4 linked regions of the Arabidopsis thaliana genome follow. The main gene of each other region encodes a partner of the protein of the gene in region 4 in a complex. Each region holds a gene or a part of one and is shown on either strand. Other genes may lie near its edges.

Region 1 (3,924 bases), on a different chromosome or scaffold from region 4:
TATCAATTCTAGAACTAAACTTAAATCATGTAATCAATGGCCAACTAGAAAGTTTGGAGCTTGAGGCACACATAGAATAAGCCAATCAAAGTAATAACATCTATCGACCTAAAACTAAAACTCTAAACCATAATGTATCAACCATTGATTCAGTATATTAAGAATGGAGTAAGAATCCAATATAGCTGCATCTTAAGAGAAACTTACCCTGACATATTGAATCTTTGAGCTGGTTTTCCGAACGAAGAGAAGCAAAGGTCTTTTCCAAATCTGCCAAGGAAATGAAGCAAATCAGTCTCAATAAATACATAAATCGAAATTACACAACCAAATCGGAGGAAGATGAACAAAGTAAGACAATCACATACATGAACACAGATCAATTTTCAGTGAGGAACTACGCAAAAGTGAGTAAGAGACTAACCTTAAAGAGAGAGAGGCTGCAACGAAGAGCAAAAAATGAGTAGCGAAGTTATATATTAGGGTTTTACGAACCCTGAATTATACGATTTTAACAGATTTGTCACGAACCTGGGCTCTACTTTAATGGGCTTTACTGGGCCATTCCTTCAATATCTGGGTCCTTTTAAAAAACGCTGTCGTTTGTTTAATCTTTCCCAATTTTCATCTTTAATGTTTAAACACTTCACAGAATCCACAATTTATGTTGTCCTTTAAGTCTTTTAACACATTGTGAAATTTTATTAATAGGCCAAATACGTATACCTTTGATAATATCTTTAAGATATGATGAAAAAGGACATATATCAAACTTTTTTTTTCATAAATTAAGTGAGATGCTATCTTTAAACAAGTAAGAGAGCACAATACCAAACCAAAATCAGAGTTTAGTTCTTGTGATCATACACTTCTTAAAACAACCTATGATGTAATAATCTAAAATAAATAACATAACCTGTTTAAAACTTTAAGCTTTTATCAATGAACAATCTGACCATTCTCAACACCTAAACCATACAAAACACCAGAATACTTCTCCATTGAACCAATGAAGAAATTCTCCTGCAGCTTCCTGAATGTACACGACGTTAACAAGCTATCCGATCCGGCCTGGTGACAAATCCCAACTCTCTCAACATCAAGCAGCTCCGCCAATTTATTCAGACCTCCATGAAGACTATTACAGAACTTCATCAAGTGTTTGATATCATAAACCCTCGGGAAATACACACTGATCATCTCGAAGAACCCTGTTTGCGTCTCGGGAAGATTCTGACAAGTCAATAGCTTCAACAAGTAACCGAAATCGTATCCGCTGTGGAATGTAACCCAATGAACGTTTTCATTCAACACAATCCCTGAAGACATCAAAAGCTCAGCGAACCGCTTCGAATCGATACCGAATTCGTTGTTTTTCACGAAATCGATGCCTGATTGACGAAGAAGCTCGATCGAATCGGTAGCGTAGATATCGGATTCGAGGTCGAATTCGCGGAAATTGAACTGCCAGATGCAATACTTGTTGTCTGTTCCACAAGTTGGGAGGTTACCTTTCTCATCAGAGAAAGTGAGTCCAAGCTGAATCATCTTGAGTATGTTGACGTTTGTTTTGAGAGTTTCGTAGTGGTACTCTGTGTTGGTTTTGAATGTTCCCACTGGTCTACACACGATTCCTGGGAACTCTGTGTCCATCGCTACGAATGGGAAATCGTCTACGACTTCTCGAATCAGAGCCATCTCTGATTCGAGATTGTCGTTCCATACTTCACGGATTTGAATCGAATCGTCTTTTAGAAACAGTGACATGGTGATGATAACGATGATGATGAATTCGAGTAAATAAGTTAAGGAGCATCTGGATCTAGAGCAAGATCCGATCTGGTTTCATCAGATCTGCAATAGATTTAACACAAAACAAATGAATCACTTACAAAAACCAAAACCTTCTGATTTTACATAAATCAATGAAAACAGAGAAACTCGACAGATACATAGACAAATACTAAGAGAGACAGCTGGATTCGAACCTTGTAATGAAGCGAAGTAAGAAAGATGTTTCTCGAGAAGACGGCGAGTTGTTCAGGCTAGGGTTTCAGAGGATGTGGTGGTTTATTAGAGAGGAGGTTATAAATCACCGACAGATTATTTTTTATTTTTTTCTCTCTCTCGGACTGTGCCCAAAGTTGCTCCTTTTTTTAGGGTTTTTGTTTTTTATTTACAAACGCTGTTTTTTTATCTTCTCCCTTGTTTTATACGCAACGTTGATTTCTTTTTCTTTTTTTTTTATTATTGAGGCATTTTCGATTAACCTAAAAATCGAAATTTTTGTCTAACCAAAGCATGCTTAGGACAGTATATACAATTCGCAACTGCTCTTAGAACCTCTGGTAGTAGAACTAAATCATTTTCAGACAAAACCAAAAAGAATTCGTAACTCATGTATAGAACTTACACTTCATCTTTTATTCCAACAGGCATTAGCCCAAACATATAAACCCCAATATTCTTTTACAATTGAAATGCATCAAGCCGTCAACAGATATACACCCAATGACCCAAACTGAACAAAAACAAAAAAAGTTAAAACAGAACAGAAGCAAATGAGGGAGGGAGGGAGAGAGAGAGAGAGAGAGAGAGATACACATGGTGGATGATTTTCAGCTTATTCCCAGTTGCAGACTCCAAAGTTTGTTTTATCTACTATTAAGGCAAATGATGATCCTGCTGAATTATTTTTAGAAGATGTGAAGGGGCGAGAGATATTACGTGAAACTATTGCACACCGCGATCAGGCAGTCGACTTGAAGTTGCCAGATTCAAATGGTTAGAGGATTGAAAATTTCCATCCTCTAAGAGAATCAATACTTATCTCTGAGGAGGATCAACTGTCCTGACATTTGCACCTGTCATACCTTCAATTTTATCTTTGGTGATCTCCACAAAGTGACCAATTACTTCGTGAAACTGCTTAAGACCCGATAACGGTAGAATGATGGAAGACCTGTCAGAACCTGCCACCTATATTGAGAAATGCTTTAATGTTAAAACCATGGTAAATACAAGCTCTCAAGAGATAAGCCAGCAAAAGATTGTTCTTCCAAGATTACCTCAGATATCCTTAAGAAATGGCCCCTGTTATTGTTCCCAAGATCAAAGAAGAACCGTTTCTGGTCAGCTCTGATTACTTTAGAAACACCAGTCATTCCGGTTTCTTCCTGGCCTGGCGAGTCAATTGTTCGATCCACATTATGTTCTGAAGAAGATGGCTGCTGACTACCATGTCCAGGTATAAAACCAGCTCCAACATCATCAACCAAGTGTTCCTGTCCATCAGAAGGTTTCTGTTTCCAAAACGAAGATACAATGAGACCAGAGAACTTAGTTAAAGGCTTTTCAATCAAAGGAGACGATAATACCACCTGATTTGGCATCACAAAAAGTCCTGATGCTTCATGTATCTCAGCCAATATATTCCTGAAAGCTGCCCATCCTTCATCAGGAGAGCTTCCAGCTGGAACAATAATGGTACTTCGATTTCTACTAACCGATGCTTCTGACACCTAACACCACACCAAAACCCATCAGAACATTCCTACAACTTCTGATACCTCAGGATAATTAGTCACATAACCAAAATGAAAAGAACATTCCTAACCATAAGTCTAGTACTCCCTAAATCTTCAATTCACATATACCAAAGAAAAAAAACTTCAGATTCATTAAGTAAAACAGAAAAATTTCTACCTTCAAGAAGCGTCCTCTTCTGTTCTCACCGATATCGAAGTAAAACACCTGAATAAAGCAACAACAGCAGAAATTAAAGAGAGTGGAAAAGTCAACGATCGCCAGAAGAGAGTGATGATAAAGTTGAAACCTTGGAATCAAGCTGCAATTCTTTGCTAAAAAGCTCGTGTTCCTCAGAATTGACATAGTAGTTGAAGAGATCAAGGAACCAAGAGATGC
Region 2 (3,644 bases), on a different chromosome or scaffold from region 4:
GCAGATTGGTCTTCTCTGTGTCCAACACCAACCTGCAGACAGACCAAACACACTTGAATTGCTGTCCATGCTCACCACAACATCAGATCTTCCACCACCAAAACAACCCACATTTGTAGTGAACACGGTAGTTGATGAATCACCGTCTAAGAGGTTGATCACTGTCAATGAGATGACCCATTCTATGATCCTAGGGCGGTAAGAGATTATGTGATGAAACCTGTAGAGTGAATGTGTGTTTGATTGTTCACGAAAGGAATCAGTTTTCGAATGTATATAACTTAACCTTTCATGCTTTTTGTAAAAGATTTTTCACTTAAGTAAATAGAGAAAATTACTATAGATGAGCTTCCAATTTGGTTGACCAATGATTTACTATAGAGTTTGCATTTCCAGTTGTTCTCCAGCAGAATTGTCTAATCTTGTGAGGAGCTTATCTGCAGAGCCAAATGAGCTCATAATTTTGGGTTTCCATTGGTTAGATACTATCATATCCTCATAGTATAAAAGTAGAATTAGTCAATGCCTTAAATCTAAATAAGGGAGCCATGATTGAATTTGCACGTATTAAAAGTGAAGAAGAAACTCAAGTCCACAGGAGAAAAGTGTGACACTCCAACCAAAACAACTCATAATTGGTACTAACAAAATATTTCACATAGATTCCAAATTTTGATTAGTGTATAGCGAAAAAGGAAAAAACTGGGCTTGTTACATATCTTCAGCTCAATTCGGAGGAAACTGATAGATAGTAATTCCAAGACAAAGATGTTACATGAGAGGCTTTTGAGTAGATTCTAACTTTAGATTCATTAAAGTATTTACTAAAGAGCAATAGTCATAATATTGAGAGAATTGTTTTGATGGACAATAAAAGCTGAAAGTTAAATCCTAAGCATATAAAGAAAGAATTTGCATACTAGCAACAAGACATGCTAAACATTGAGGGATCACAATACGTAGTTCCTTCCTTGGACCGGTATCGGGATGTAACATCTAGTCATCATAAGCTGTTGCTGATGCTGCTGCTGCTCTAGTTGATATTGCTGATCATCAGCTCTTCTTCCAGTACTCTCCTTTCTACTATTGACCAAATCGAAAATCAACTTAGTGAAGACACGAGCCGTCAATTCGCTGTCTGATCCAGCGTGATGAGCTTTTCCAACACGCCTCATCTGCAACACATCCGCTATTCTCTGTAGTCCGAAACGGCTACTTAGTCCGCTGCATAATCCAGCCATTTTCTTCACATCATAAACAAACCTTCCCAAAAGCTGCTGGACGGTTTCATCAAACTCTTTCGAAGTCTCGGGTAATGGTTTTCTAGTTAAACCTTTAAGTAGATAAGCTTTGTCGTAAGAGCCTTGAAAAGTCACCCATCTCATTTTTCCATGTTTCTCATTGAGAATCTGAGAAAACTCCATGAAGAACTCTTCGATTCCAATACCTTCTTCTCTGATCTTATCCAGATCCAAACCATTGTTTTTTAAAAACGCTATAGATTTATCATTTTTCAAGCTCTTAGATTCGTTGAAATCTGACAAGTTGATCTCCCAGGTTTTAGTGATTCCTTTGCCGAATAGCGTTAACCCTAACTGGATGAGATGGGTGTTGTCCACATTGAATTTCATGTCTCTATAACGAATTTCATCACTTGCGTCCATGGGAGTCTCCTTTAAGCATCCGGGAAACTCTGTGTCGATAGCGATGGAATTACAATGTTTCAAACAATCTCTTATCGAATTCATCTCTGCTTGCTTGTTCCATCTCCAAACTTCACCGCTCATCTCGAACGAAACTAAGAAACTGTTTGTTTATCTGAAAGAGAAAGTGAGATAACAAATGAATTTTATTTGGTTGGCGTTATATTATTAGAGAATTTATAGGGATTAGATTAAGACACCGACTTCAGTTTCCTTATTTTTAGGATACTATAAAGTTTTCATTTTTTTTCCATCAAAAGTTCGTGTTGACTTTTTTGACTCCTAATTCTTGTTAAACACGAGTTTTCAATTTTTCTCTTAAAATTCAAAAACAAAAAAACGCGTGGTTCCGAAGCGGTTTTCAATTTTTAACACTAAACCGAATTAAATTCCTTGCCCGAACCGAATTAAATTCTAATTTCTCTCTCAAAACTCAAAAGCCTTGTTTCCGAAGCGGTTTACGATTTCAACGCTAAACCGAATTAAATTCCTATTACAAATTAAAGTCTAATTTTCCATCCCGAAATACACGAAATTGACAAAAGACTTTATTTTAAGTCTTCCCGGAAGGTTCTTCTCTGGGTTAGTGGCTTGACGACACAAGTCAAGCAACCTGTCATACACTGACACAAGTCAATCTTGACTGTTGAATTATTCGGCTGCTTTTGGATAGTGACAGTTAAGCCCATATGGTTGGAGTACGAATCAATCGATTGGGGTCATTAAGGTCTTCAAGACATCACCGAAGCTCTGACTTTTTGTTATGCACTGCAAGTGTTCGAGGAAATGCCTAAACGAGATAATTCATAGTCTGCAGTTCAAGAAAAATATAGGTTCTTCTGGGCCTAACAAGCTAGTAAGGACTGGAACAATGAAAACGTTGCGTATCTGATACGGTAATGACTTCTTCGTGCCAATGTATCTATCATGTATTTATTAAATAATGCATATTTTTGGAAAATAAGTAAAGTAGTTCTGACAAGACACAGTGTTTTTTTTTTCCCCGGCTCTCTTGCTTCATACACACTAATCCAAAAAAGATAGTTATTGGAGAAAGAAAAAAACAAACAAACGGGGACGATGAGGATCACGTTCTTTGCTTCTTTGCTCTTATTTACCAATACCATCTTTATAAGTTTTAGCTTTGCAATTGCAGGGATAAACAAAGAGAGTCCTTTGTCAATAGGACAAACTCTCAGCTCCTCTAATGGAGTTTATGAATTGGGTTTCTTCAGTTTTAATAACTCGGAAAATCATTATCTTGGAATCTGGTTCAAGGGAATCATTCCCCGGGTGGTTGTGTGGGTGGCCAATAGAGAAAATCCTGTTACAGATTCCACAGCAAATCTCGCTATCAGCAGCAACGCAAGTCTTCTGTTATATAATGGAAAACATGGCGTTGCATGGTCCAGTGGTGAAACTCTTGCTTCTAACGGGTCTCGTGCAGAGCTTTCAGACACCGGAAATCTTATTGTCATAGACAATTTTTCGGGAAGAACTCTTTGGCAAAGCTTTGACCATCTTGGTGATACTATGCTTCCTTTCTCAGCTCTGATGTATAACCTCGCCACTGGCGAGAAGCAGGTCTTGACTTCTTGGAAAAGTTACACTAATCCAGCGGTTGGTGACTTTGTGCTTCAGATTACAACGCAAGTGCCAACACAAGCTTTAACTATGAGAGGCTCGAAGCCTTATTGGAGAAGCGGTCCATGGGCTAAAACAAGGTTCACGGGGGTACCACTAATGGATGATTCATTTACAAATCCATTAAGCCTTTAGCAAGATGCAAACGGGTCAGGATCCCTTACTTATTTAAACAGAAACTTCAAACTTCCACGTATAGTGATAACATCGAAGGGTTCACTGGAGATTTCTAGGCATAGTGGGACTGATTGGGTATTGAACTTTGTGGCTCCAGCGCACTCATGTGATTATTACGGT
Region 3 (5,307 bases), on a different chromosome or scaffold from region 4:
AGGTTCTCAAGGGAAGCTTATGCTAAATGATATTTATTTATAAGAACATATAATAAGCATAGAAAATATAATATTTTTGTTCGGTTGTTTGTGATTATATATTCAAAGGAATGATCACTATCCGTTTTGAAAAAATCTTATGTTTTTGGAACATAACATTACATCACTGTCATTTTGGATAAAAGTTTGAAGAGTACGACTTTATTCAATAACAATGGTTCAAATTATCGGTGAAAGGTGAGACTGTAAAAGAATATTCGTTCGTACTCAAAATTATGATTTATTATTATAAGTTGGTGCGATAGTACAAACTTTAGTGGTTGATAGATAAAACAGATCAATGCTTGACCTAATTTTGTTGCAACTTTATTCAACAAATTGAAACGAGATCATCATATGATATTAACATGTCATTTCACTAAATCTTCTATTGTTTTTGTCTAGTTGACTACAGAATAATAGAACCAATTCTTATGTTATTTTATGAGTGCAATAAACAAGACACATTAAACAATTTCTTCTCAAGAAAATTCAAATATTCTCAGTAATTCAATGCACACAACGAAAATTTCGAGTTTATTGAGACAAAAATGATCCAAGTCCTTTAATACTTTGTGTTGTGTGTGTATGATTCACTGCTTCATGATTTCTACAAGAACCATATTCAAATGCTGAAACAATGGAGTTATGCGACAAAACTTTCTAAAGAACGAAACTTCCTATTCCCGACGAATCTCAAACTCAGCTCCTATAGGTAAATGATCACTCGGGTGATGATGATTCGGTAAGAAACCGACAACATCTGGAGAATCCGGCTCAGGTAGTTGAAGGATACTCACAGGTTTAATGAAGTCTGAAGGAGAGATGAAGATGTAGTCAAGTGTGTTTGTGAAGCCAGGAGTGCAATTTGTGAACTTAGGCTCTCCTCTTGTGACTTCATAGACACTAGACAGAGGAACTGGAGCTTCTTCTTCTTCTATGGTCTCTGTGGGTTTAGCATTACCCGATACTAGGTAACTATAAACCTGGAAAACGACGACAAGTATCAGGATTTTACCACCGTAAACCCAATCTTTTGATTTTGCAAATAGATTGAACAATTAGGGAAACTCAATGTAAGAAACTGAATCAAACCATATCCCCAGGAATTGAATTGAAGTCGCCAGCTAGTAGCAATGAAGGTGTGCACTCAAATTCATCTGATATTAGTGTTTTGAACTGAGCTAGTCGTGACAGTAGATACTTGGCTTGAGCAAGCTTGACATCAGCCAATTCAGGGTCCCTAGAGATAAGTAAACATGAGATGAAAGTTTAAAGGGTGGTAAAAGATAATCTTCAATCGGTGACAAGTATTTTTACCAGTAAAGATGTGTGTTTGCCACGATAACGATATGCTGAAACGGCTTGTTGATCCTAAAAGCAGCCATTATTCCAACGCAATCACGTTTTAGTCTCACTAGTGGATCATTAAGGTCACGACTGTCTTTTCGAGAATCTTTTGTTTGGGGCAGATTTGTGGAAACATGTGAAGAGAACATAGATAAAAGTTAGTAATGATGTTGAGATATAAAGAAACAGCACAAAGTATTTGCTTTCTTTTCCTCCAAAAGGACAAATTTATCTTTCGCTTTCTCATCACCTTTTCCTTCGTTGGATGTCTCAATCTTCTGTTCGCTGCAGGAAACACTATCTGCTTTTATTGAGTCCACAAGATCATTATATTCGATCCGTTCCTTTGTGACTAACTCTGCACTAAATCAAAAGAAGAGTGTTGTTTCAATCAGATTGATGTTTTTGCATTAAGTTAACGTCTTGTCAGGCTTAATGTTTTTATCATACCAGCTTGGCTTGTAGAAGATTGCACAACCATCACGCTTCCTCTGGCCGGTTCTCTGAATATAAATCCCAGAATATCCCAGAGAGTCCATGTTATTTCTGTAAAAGCTATCGTACTCATCTACTTCCTGCGAGCATTGCAACTATATAACTAACAAGTGGAGACACCCTTTTGTTAAACACAATTCAAAGGCCCTATGAACAAACAACACTAACATTTTTACAGGCCTGAGCTTGTCTAATGGATTGAACAAAAGAGAAGAATGAATTTTGTGTTTCATACGAAAAGGGTATCTCAATACTACCTAAACACAAAAGAAGAAGTTTTCACAAGAATAAAGTACCTGCAGACAAAAGAAATCAGCCTGGAGATTTTTGAGAACGCTGAGAATTGCATGTGAACGAGCTTTCCATCTGCAACACAAGAAAAGGAAGACCAAGTCACATTTACTACAAAACCATAACCCTTTAAGAAGCACCATTCCCTAATATTTTAACAAAGTTAATATATCGCTAAATCCAAAGTACATATTGGGTAATGGATAATTAACGTGGGTAAGACCAAACACAATATTGCCTGCTTATAGCTAAGTTCCTAAACATTCATAGAATCCATTGTTGTTTTCTGAAGCAAATCTTGACTATACTCCAGGCCATTGATTACACAACTCACAGAAAGAACTCTTGACTAGTATAAGTAAATTTGATCTCGAAACTGAGAAATGTAGAGAAAAATAATTACTTGAGACAGGCAGGTGGAGAGTGTGGGAGAAGTGCACTCTTCACATAAACCTACAAGAAATATAAAGCTCAAATAGATAAGAAACTCAACAAAGGAAAGAGCTAAAAGAACTGTCTGTATCTATAAATCAAGCTCAGAAATTCGTAAGATCGTTTAAAACTACAAAATTCGTCCAAATATTAAGCTACAAAATATCACAAAGCATATGAGAGATTAAAAAGCTTGATTATTTCTTACCTGAGCTAATATGTTATATGAAACAAGACGGAATCTGATACCTGAAAACACAAAATTCTCATTACTAGTACCAATTCTACTTAAACTTATACAGTTATATAAAGCCACAAGCTTTGATAAGTAAAGAGGAATAGCAAAAAAACCATCGGATTTATTTCTTGAACCAATATCAACTCCTTCAACAGATTCAAATTTGCGAACTTTTGGTTCAATTGCAGGATTCGTACTCATTCTTCTCGAAATAACTTTCCTGCAGACACGAGAGCTGTTGAATCAAAGGGTCAGGAAAAAAAACAATCCTTGAACATCAATATTTAGGTCAAAATTAAGAAGCTGATTTAATTCCCCATAAAATTTCAATTACAGCCCAGATAAATTCGAGATTCTAGAGGATTGGTTCCAATATAAAGATGAGAAATTTCTAAACAAATTGTATTCCTCAACGAAATTGCCCAATGACAATGAACAGAGACGATCAATTTAGTTGCATTACTAAATACGAAACTTGAGATTACAGAAAATGAAACTGTATATTGATTGATACAGAAACGAAGAAACCCACCTGGGAAGAAGAAGATTCGGACGAGGAAGATGATGCAGAGTTGTAGAACTAAACATCTATAGTGACAACAATTGACTTAACCCAATTTGGCTTTAGATTGAAGAAACTCTTGTGGGTTTTCAAATAAAATAGTGAAGAATTCGATAATTATCATTTGCTCCCTGTCTTTATATTAAAGTAGTTAGTGAGCCTTCATTTTATTTATTGGAACTTTAGAACCAAAAATAGGTCATTAGTAGGTTCATTTACTTTCCAACAAATAAAAATCCAATCGAAATCAACGTCAAAATCCAAAACCCAAAATTTTCAAAAATTCCCAAAGCACCTATATATATAACTATATAAGTTAGTATGAGTTTCTAAATCATTTACTGTCAGATATTTAGTCTATAAATGGTTGTGTACCAGACTAAAATCTAATTAATCGATATTTAACTAATTCACCATTACGGACCAATATACACTATTGCGAATTAAAAATTTCCATACTAACACTCACTTGAGCATAAAACTTTATAAGATGAGAAATTATAGATATATTTCCCAAAAAGCTTCACACCAATATTAATATAACAAGGGGATTGACGTAAATGACACTAAAAAACTTTATTATTCCAAAAAATGACACCTTTTTTTTGAAATTTCCAAAATAGCATATAAAATTTTTAATCCTCTATAAATTAATTAAATAATAAAGTTTTTTTTATTACTATTTGTATCAATCCCCCAAATAAAAATGAGAGCAAACATTAATCTAATATTAAATTGAATCAAAAAAGTTTTTAATAATAAAAATATATACCCTAAATTGAAAATAACAAACCCAAATATAATACTACAAACTAATTTGGTAAAGGACATACTACAAACTAATTTGGTAGAGGACATGCAAGCAATGGAAAACACTAATCACAGAACCGATATTCGTCAACAAGCACATGTCTCACATGCATGGTCTTGAACCGATATTCACAGTCTTCAATTACGTTCCGGCCACAGTTTCTCCATTGTGCTCAACAATTTCTTGTATCGGTATGGATTTCAACAACAAACCTAGTTTAAATTTTCAGGTTTTTAAACCGCTTTCATCTTCGGATTTATTGGAGCACAACATGTTTCATTGTGATGGTCTATTGCTAATGGTCATGGGAACCAAAATTTTAGTTTCCAATCCGTTGTTGAAAGAAGCAAGATGGATCAAATGTGGCTATAGCTTTGAGTTTGACCATTCCATCGATGCATATGGTCTTGGATACATTAGTAACGAGTCACCAAGTGGTTGTAATGATTACAAAATGGTTAGGTTTCGGTGTCCTAATAATTTAAGTGTTGAAATCTACGATTTCAAATCTGATTGTTGGAAGGTTGTTGTTGTTGATAAAACCTTCCATGGGTTCTTTCGACTACCATTGTCAAGTGTGTGTATAGGAGGAACTCCTTATTGGATAGGTTATAATATCTACGGTACCGTTTCGATACAAAGTTTCGATTTCTCAAAAGAGAGATTTGAGACCTTGTTCGAGTCTCTTCATCACTCATCCATCGGGATCCAGTGGAAAGATTCTCTTTCTTTAGGGATTTTCCGTGGAGATCATCTTTCTTTGTTACGTGAACCGCACTTAGCAGGTAAGATATACTGATGAAGAAGCATTGGAGTAGGTTAATGACAGTTTCTATAGCTCAACTTCCCAAGTTTCCAATATATCCAAGTCACTTCATTGAGAACAATGGTAAGATTCTGCTATATATTCGTCACTTTGTAACTAGGTCAATTAGCATCTACGTTGTGGGAGAGACATAAGAATGCCCGAAAGTTGAATGTTACTCTTCTATGGAGTCTTCAATTGGTGGTCCTGGTTGCTACTATATATGTCCCAAGCTTACTTCCGGTTCCAGGCTTTTCGAGGTAATTAAGAGGAAGAAGAATAAG
Region 4 (5,513 bases):
TCTTCATTGATCTGAATAAGATTTTCTTCTTCTTGTCTCTTCTGCATATCCTTCTCGTATTGATTCAACGCTTCCTCCATCCTCATCTGCGTAAAACCCAACAGTCTAAGGTCGAGCACAAGCTTTCTCATAGGAAGACAGAGAGAAGAAACAGACCTTGTAGCTAACTTCGATGCGATGCATTACGTAGAATCCGAGGGCCCCGCCGAGAAGTGTTCCAGCTATGATCCGTGCGTAACCCCATGTCATTGAGCTCAACGCCATTAATTTCCTCACTTTCTCTTGTCTCTTCTTCCTTCGATTCCAACTTTACAGCTCTCAATCTCTTTAGAATTCCTTTTCATTTTACCGGAACCAAGATTAGAACCGTACCAATTGGTTCAATTCTTTCTTTTTGGTACATTTAAACCAAGCTTATGTCCGCTTCGGTTTAGATCCAGAATCAAGTAAACTGGTTCTCTCACTTTAAATTACGTTCGAAGAAGTCGATTTAATATCCTAGTGACCCAATACGCACACAAGATTGAAGCTTCTGATCGTCTCAATTTTTATTTATTTATCGAGAAGTCGGTTTGATATAGAACCATGATCAGGTAATTTCGGTACGCTTATACATTTAATAAAAACACATTTATAACGGTTCGGTTCAAAGAAAACTAAGCTGGCACTAGATGCCTTTAACCGTCCGGTTCAAAGACAAATTCAGAAACAAGAGCCAAGTGATCGCTTCCCAATTCCTGCAAACCAAAGACGAATAAGGCTTTAAGCATCAATCATAGAAATGACCTCACCAAATCTAAACTGTTTGATAGAAAGACATACTTGACAAGGAAGGCCTTTGGTTTTGCATAGAACATCAATAGGAAGTGTGTCAAGAACTCTTGCAGGTAAAAGACCATCAGAGTACCTTAACCAGACCACACATGTATTTCTAATTAGTTACTTCATCAGCCAAATATTAAATTTGTCCATTTGAGTTTTGGTTGTGTTTAGAATGTTTTACCAGAGATAATCAACCGTTCCGAGAAATTTCGAGTGATATGAGGTTGCTAGAGGTTCACCAACAGAGTCCCTGGTATTTGCTGAGCCCTGTTGTGTACCATGTTCATGAGCAAATTTAAGGTCTTGTCATATATAGACAGGGACATTAAAGCTTTGTTTGTTACCTTAACTGAGGCGTATGAGCTATTGAGTTTCAGAGGATGCGCAGCCCAGTACGAGTTCTCTTGCCCGGTTGCGACACGGATCTCTTCTTTTGTCCAAGAGCTACAAAAACTTCTACTAGTGTGTGAACACAATGGCTATTCCAGCAGGCAGTCACAAGACAACCATTCACAGAACTGATTAAATCTTCAAAAAACAATCTTACCTGAAAGTTATTGTATTACTGGATTTGCTACCAGTTTCAAGAACTTTGGTAGGACGACAATTTTTCTGGCCGGACAGCTCTTTTTTGTCATGTTCCATGACATTCAGCTGTAAGATAGAAGCATAATCCTATTTAAAGAAACTACAAGAGGACACAGTGTAGTTTGACTGAAGCAAAACTATGAATAGTCATACCTCAGAGGACGCCAAGAAGTTGTACAATGGACTCTACACGTAATAAGATAAACTCAAACAATGAATAAACAAATACACAAACCAAAGTGGAAGAGTTTATTTGAAAAGATACGTACCTTGGGAGTGCTATTGAAATCTCCGCATAGAACAATGGGAATGTCACCCCATTTCTTAGAGAGCAAGTGAGCCTTTGAGCAGAGTGAACGGACCTATCAGTCAAGAACAAGGCAAATCAGGAACTCAAGAAAAAACATAAGCCACGAATTCAATACGTTTTCATGAGCATTAGGACATATACTAATGAACATGTCATGACATATACTAGTAACTTAGACTTGTCTTAGATATTTAAACTAATGCTAGTAAACATCTCTTGACTGAGATTCAGTACAATTTCCTGAAGTCTTAAAGCCAAAGGTGAAAGGGCCAGATCAACATTTTGTAAACTTTCATGACAGTCAATTGCTCGTGTAGCGGATATACAAATTGAAATGTCGAGGCTTACCTGACCCAGCTTCACATCTCCTTGATTTGGATTATAAAGCACGTGAATGTTACCCAGCAGTATCTTTCTTGACTTATTAGACTTCCGGAGCTGACGGGAAACCCAAAAAAAAACTGGATCAGTCAAAGCATATACATGAAAAAAGAAGTTCGTAAAACATTCAAAAAAAATTTCTACCTCAAGAACAGCAAGCTGTGCAACATTATCCCGCATACCAAACTGGCTAAACTCAATGTTTTCCCTCTCCAAAACTCCAAACCTTTTGAAAACAAGATAAATCTTAAACAATGCTGAGTTGTAGTAGTCGTTTTTCTTCACACTAATACAGATTGAGTCAAACAATATGTGCTACCTGTCAGCCTTCCAAAACATTGCGCAACCATCGACGTTATCTCCAGTTCGCCGCTGCCATTGCAAAGCTTATATTTGTAGTCCTTCTATATAAACACAACTTTTGTTGAGGCTTCAGACGAAAAGGTAAATAAAACCAACCGACAAACCATGTCTTACATTTTACCCCATTAATCTTATAAGCATAAAATTTTTCATTGAACAAGGAAATACATCAACCTTATAGGAGCCAGCATATCCAGCTTTCTCCATCATACTGAATAGATCAAAATATTTATCTACTTCCTACAAAGGTCCACAAACAAAATCAACTTAACTATCTTAACACGATATAAAACAAGGTAAAGTTCATTACCTGCATAGAGATTATGTCTGGATTGAGACGAATGAGTTCTTCGCATATCAACCTTTTGCGGTAGCCCCACTTGAGGTAAGGAACAGACACATTGGAGTACAACTCTCTGTGATATGATGAATTTCCATCTCCCAATATGTTGTACGACACTACAGTGAATCTCTCTAAAGCTAATATTACATAGAGACACACTAGTAAGATCCAAAGGCATCCACAATTTCACAAGCTTCATGGACAAACAGTAACTCAAGCTATTACTAATATCTCTAATTTACTAAATCCTAACTAGTTCACAAATTCATAAGTAAGAGCAGAGTTTTTCCATAAGATCATTATTAAACTACCTTGAGAAACTGGAGTTGTATCTGAATCGATCCAATCACGAGCAATCTGAGAAGACGGTATTTGATCGGGATGTTGACGCCGGGGAAGAGGATTCTGCCATCTACGGCTGTAAGAGCGATTTGAAGATGATTCGGGATTTGAATCGGACGGTCCAGATGTGGAGGAGGAGCAACACACGAAAGAGGAACGGAAAGATAGAGACGATAAAGGACATTGATGGAATCCAGATGAAAGGTGACCACCGGAGGGTAAGATACGGTAAGCTTCGCTTGGCCGTGACCAAGAACAATCAACGCGATTCACACAACGCATTCGATTTTGTGGATGTTAGAGACGAAATTCAGAAATTTGGATGAAATCGAAAACCACACAAACCTCTTGGCGCCATACGGATAAATATCTTTTTTTTTTTCTTCCTTTGGTCAGAGAAAAAAAAATACCAAACCATGGGCCATGGGCCAATACTAGTATACTACACCAGGCCTTGTTTAGCTGAGATCCTGTTTTTTGTTATTCGGATTTTTTGTTTTAATGTCTATTGTTTTTTTTTGTGAGTTTGATTTCAATTTATGTCATTTTGTTTCTAATTTTAGTAGGATGTCAGTTTTTATTTTAGTCTAGTTTTATCATGTTAAGAACTTGGAGATGATATTTGATTTTGAGTTATGAGATTTTGTTTTTTCTTTCATCGTCCTTGTAATTTTTTTTTGTTTTTTCATATACTATGATATTATTTCTACTTTTATTGGAGTATCAATTATTTGATTTCAAATTTAGTGATAGTAGCTCAAAAAAAAAAAACCTTACACAAAAAAGTATATGTCTTTTTGTGTAAGGCGATTACTGATTACACACACAAAAAAAAAAATGTCTTCGTTTCTACCTTTTTTTTTGTTGCAATATTGCCTTTGACAAAGAAAAACTCTATGATTGCGTCTACATTATAATGTTCTTTAAACTTTACTATAAAATATCACTAACTAATCTTGAAATACAAATTAGTGAAGGCATATTGTTAAATATAAAAGTGTATGCGATTTAAAACATTACTGATTGAATTGCATAATCTCATTTTATGGAAAAAAAGTAAAGTAGGTATAAGAAAATGGATATAACAAGATTAAAAACAAAAGAGAAATAAATGACACGCAACAACCAAAGCCAAAAGGGTGCGTTACCATTAATTCAGGGAAAGCGAAATAAACCCAAATCTCTCTTCTAACGAAGTAACAACTCACCCACTTCTCACATTGATTCACTCCTTTCCAGTTTTTACATATAGCCTTCGTTCATCAATCACCTTAAGCAAATTGCAATCACAAAAAAAAAAAAGTACAGTACTTAGCAAAATTTTAAGTTTTTGTTATTTCCACGGCAACTTAGCAAATATGCACCACATATTGACATTAGCTAATATACAACACATGTTTTTTTAGAAATGTACAAGCATTAACAAATATCCAACACAAAATGACATGATCGTAGATGATTAAGATAATTCGATCCCTATAACTAATAGTTTCCAAAACTTCTGCTGACTTTTCTCTCGACAGCGATGGTAAGAAGAAGGTACAAAGTTTTGAAGCCCGAATATAACAAAAGGACAGAAAGCTTTTAGTTTTCTAGATAAGATCTTAGCTTTGGTCACGTAAAAAAAATTAAAAGTGAATTGGTTAACAATATAGGAGTACTTTGTATCCAAAGGTCATTGCAATAAATAAACACTTAAGTACTCTGTAGTCACACATCTCTAGGAGCTTAATATTGGATAATCGCTTGTAGACTTGTATTAAAATATTTAGTAGGTCAAATCCCTATCTTCTACAGTTTCTACTCTCGTCCGTACAGACTACAGACACTATGCTATAGTTTTGTGTTGAATTCTACAAAGTACAAATTCTTCTTTCGGTGCCAATAACAAATAAACACAATTCTCAAATTACATTTGTCTAAATTTTTATTTGATTCGGTATAAATGTAACGCTATGTTGGGAATCATATGATAAATCCAGATTAAGACTTCTTATTTAATTTATTTTTGTATATATAAAATATAATATCCAACCATAAAGTTTTTTTACCGATCGATGATAATGTGAATCCAAATATTTTAACAGGATGATAAATAATTGATGTGGCTTTTATAACCGCAGCAATTCTGGCGTGACTCTCTCCGCAGCATTTATTTTTCTCTCTATAAATTAAAAACATTACTTACTCTTTCTCTCTTCCACTTAACTCATATCAACCTTCGCCGGAAATAATGGCTTTCCCGCGATTTCTTTCTCTCCTCGCCGTCGTCACTCTCTCTCTTTTCCTCACCACCACTGATGCTTCCTCTCGCTCTCTATCCACTCCACCTAAAACGAACGTACTCGACGTCGTTTCATCTCT

What was found.
Region 1: AT3G18500 (region 4) and AT2G32070 share a complex: the UniProt entries of both Arabidopsis thaliana proteins name them as parts of the CCR4-NOT complex.
Region 2: AT3G18500 (region 4) and AT1G61470 share a complex: the UniProt entries of both Arabidopsis thaliana proteins name them as parts of the CCR4-NOT complex.
Region 3: AT3G18500 (region 4) and AT1G31500 share a complex: the UniProt entries of both Arabidopsis thaliana proteins name them as parts of the CCR4-NOT complex.

The regions. Positions count from the first base shown.
Region 1 is NC_003071.7:13,639,890-13,643,813, forward strand, and holds AT2G32070 (Polynucleotidyl transferase, ribonuclease H-like superfamily protein), read right to left. Parts: upstream 2,172-3,924; 5' UTR 1,989-2,171; intron 1,855-1,988; 5' UTR 1,768-1,854; coding exon 940-1,767; 3' UTR 705-939; downstream 1-704. Other genes in the region: AT2G32060 (Ribosomal protein L7Ae/L30e/S12e/Gadd45 family protein), read right to left, coding at 208-215; PUR ALPHA-1 (purin-rich alpha 1), read right to left, coding at 2,827-2,979, 3,069-3,302, 3,378-3,521, 3,706-3,753, 3,836-3,924. UniProt on the Arabidopsis thaliana protein: Ubiquitous transcription factor required for a diverse set of processes. It is a component of the CCR4 complex involved in the control of gene expression.
Region 2 is NC_003070.9:22,676,328-22,679,971, reverse strand, and holds AT1G61470 (Polynucleotidyl transferase, ribonuclease H-like superfamily protein), read right to left. Parts: upstream 1,881-3,644; 5' UTR 1,788-1,880; coding exon 951-1,787; 3' UTR 670-950; downstream 1-669. Other genes in the region: AT1G61475 (ATP binding / protein kinase), read left to right, coding at 5-202; AT1G61460 (G-type lectin S-receptor-like Serine/Threonine-kinase), read left to right, coding at 2,784-3,427, 3,524-3,644. UniProt on the Arabidopsis thaliana protein: Ubiquitous transcription factor required for a diverse set of processes. It is a component of the CCR4 complex involved in the control of gene expression.
Region 3 is NC_003070.9:11,273,102-11,278,408, forward strand, and holds AT1G31500 (DNAse I-like superfamily protein), read right to left. Parts: upstream 3,528-5,307; 5' UTR 3,434-3,527; coding exon 3,378-3,433; exon of another isoform or gene 3,374-3,377; intron 3,081-3,373; coding exon 2,816-3,080; intron 2,629-2,815; coding exon 2,579-2,628; intron 2,251-2,578; coding exon 2,181-2,250; intron 1,965-2,180; coding exon 1,840-1,964; intron 1,753-1,839; coding exon 1,640-1,752; intron 1,496-1,639; coding exon 1,360-1,495; intron 1,283-1,359; coding exon 1,135-1,282; coding exon of another isoform or gene 1,129-1,134; exon of another isoform or gene 1,026-1,128; coding exon 720-1,025; 3' UTR 501-719; downstream 1-500. Other genes in the region: AT1G31510 (F-box associated ubiquitination effector family protein), read left to right, coding at 4,316-5,003, 5,048-5,107, 5,180-5,307. UniProt on the Arabidopsis thaliana protein: Acts as a catalytic component of the CCR4-NOT core complex, which in the nucleus seems to be a general transcription factor, and in the cytoplasm the major mRNA deadenylase involved in mRNA turnover.
Region 4 is NC_003074.8:6,350,462-6,355,974, reverse strand, and holds AT3G18500 (DNAse I-like superfamily protein), read right to left. Parts: upstream 3,504-5,513; 5' UTR 3,432-3,503; coding exon 3,119-3,431; intron 2,945-3,118; coding exon 2,775-2,944; intron 2,705-2,774; coding exon 2,639-2,704; intron 2,474-2,638; coding exon 2,421-2,473; intron 2,328-2,420; coding exon 2,246-2,327; intron 2,159-2,245; coding exon 2,069-2,158; intron 1,773-2,068; coding exon 1,680-1,772; intron 1,597-1,679; coding exon 1,564-1,596; intron 1,477-1,563; coding exon 1,370-1,476; intron 1,279-1,369; coding exon 1,167-1,278; intron 1,090-1,166; coding exon 1,004-1,089; intron 908-1,003; coding exon 823-907; intron 738-822; coding exon 678-737; 3' UTR 529-677; downstream 1-528. Other genes in the region: AT3G18510 (ATP-dependent helicase/nuclease subunit), read right to left, coding at 1-86, 157-264; ASPG1 (Eukaryotic aspartyl protease family protein), read left to right, coding at 5,383-5,513. UniProt on the Arabidopsis thaliana protein: Acts as a catalytic component of the CCR4-NOT core complex, which in the nucleus seems to be a general transcription factor, and in the cytoplasm the major mRNA deadenylase involved in mRNA turnover.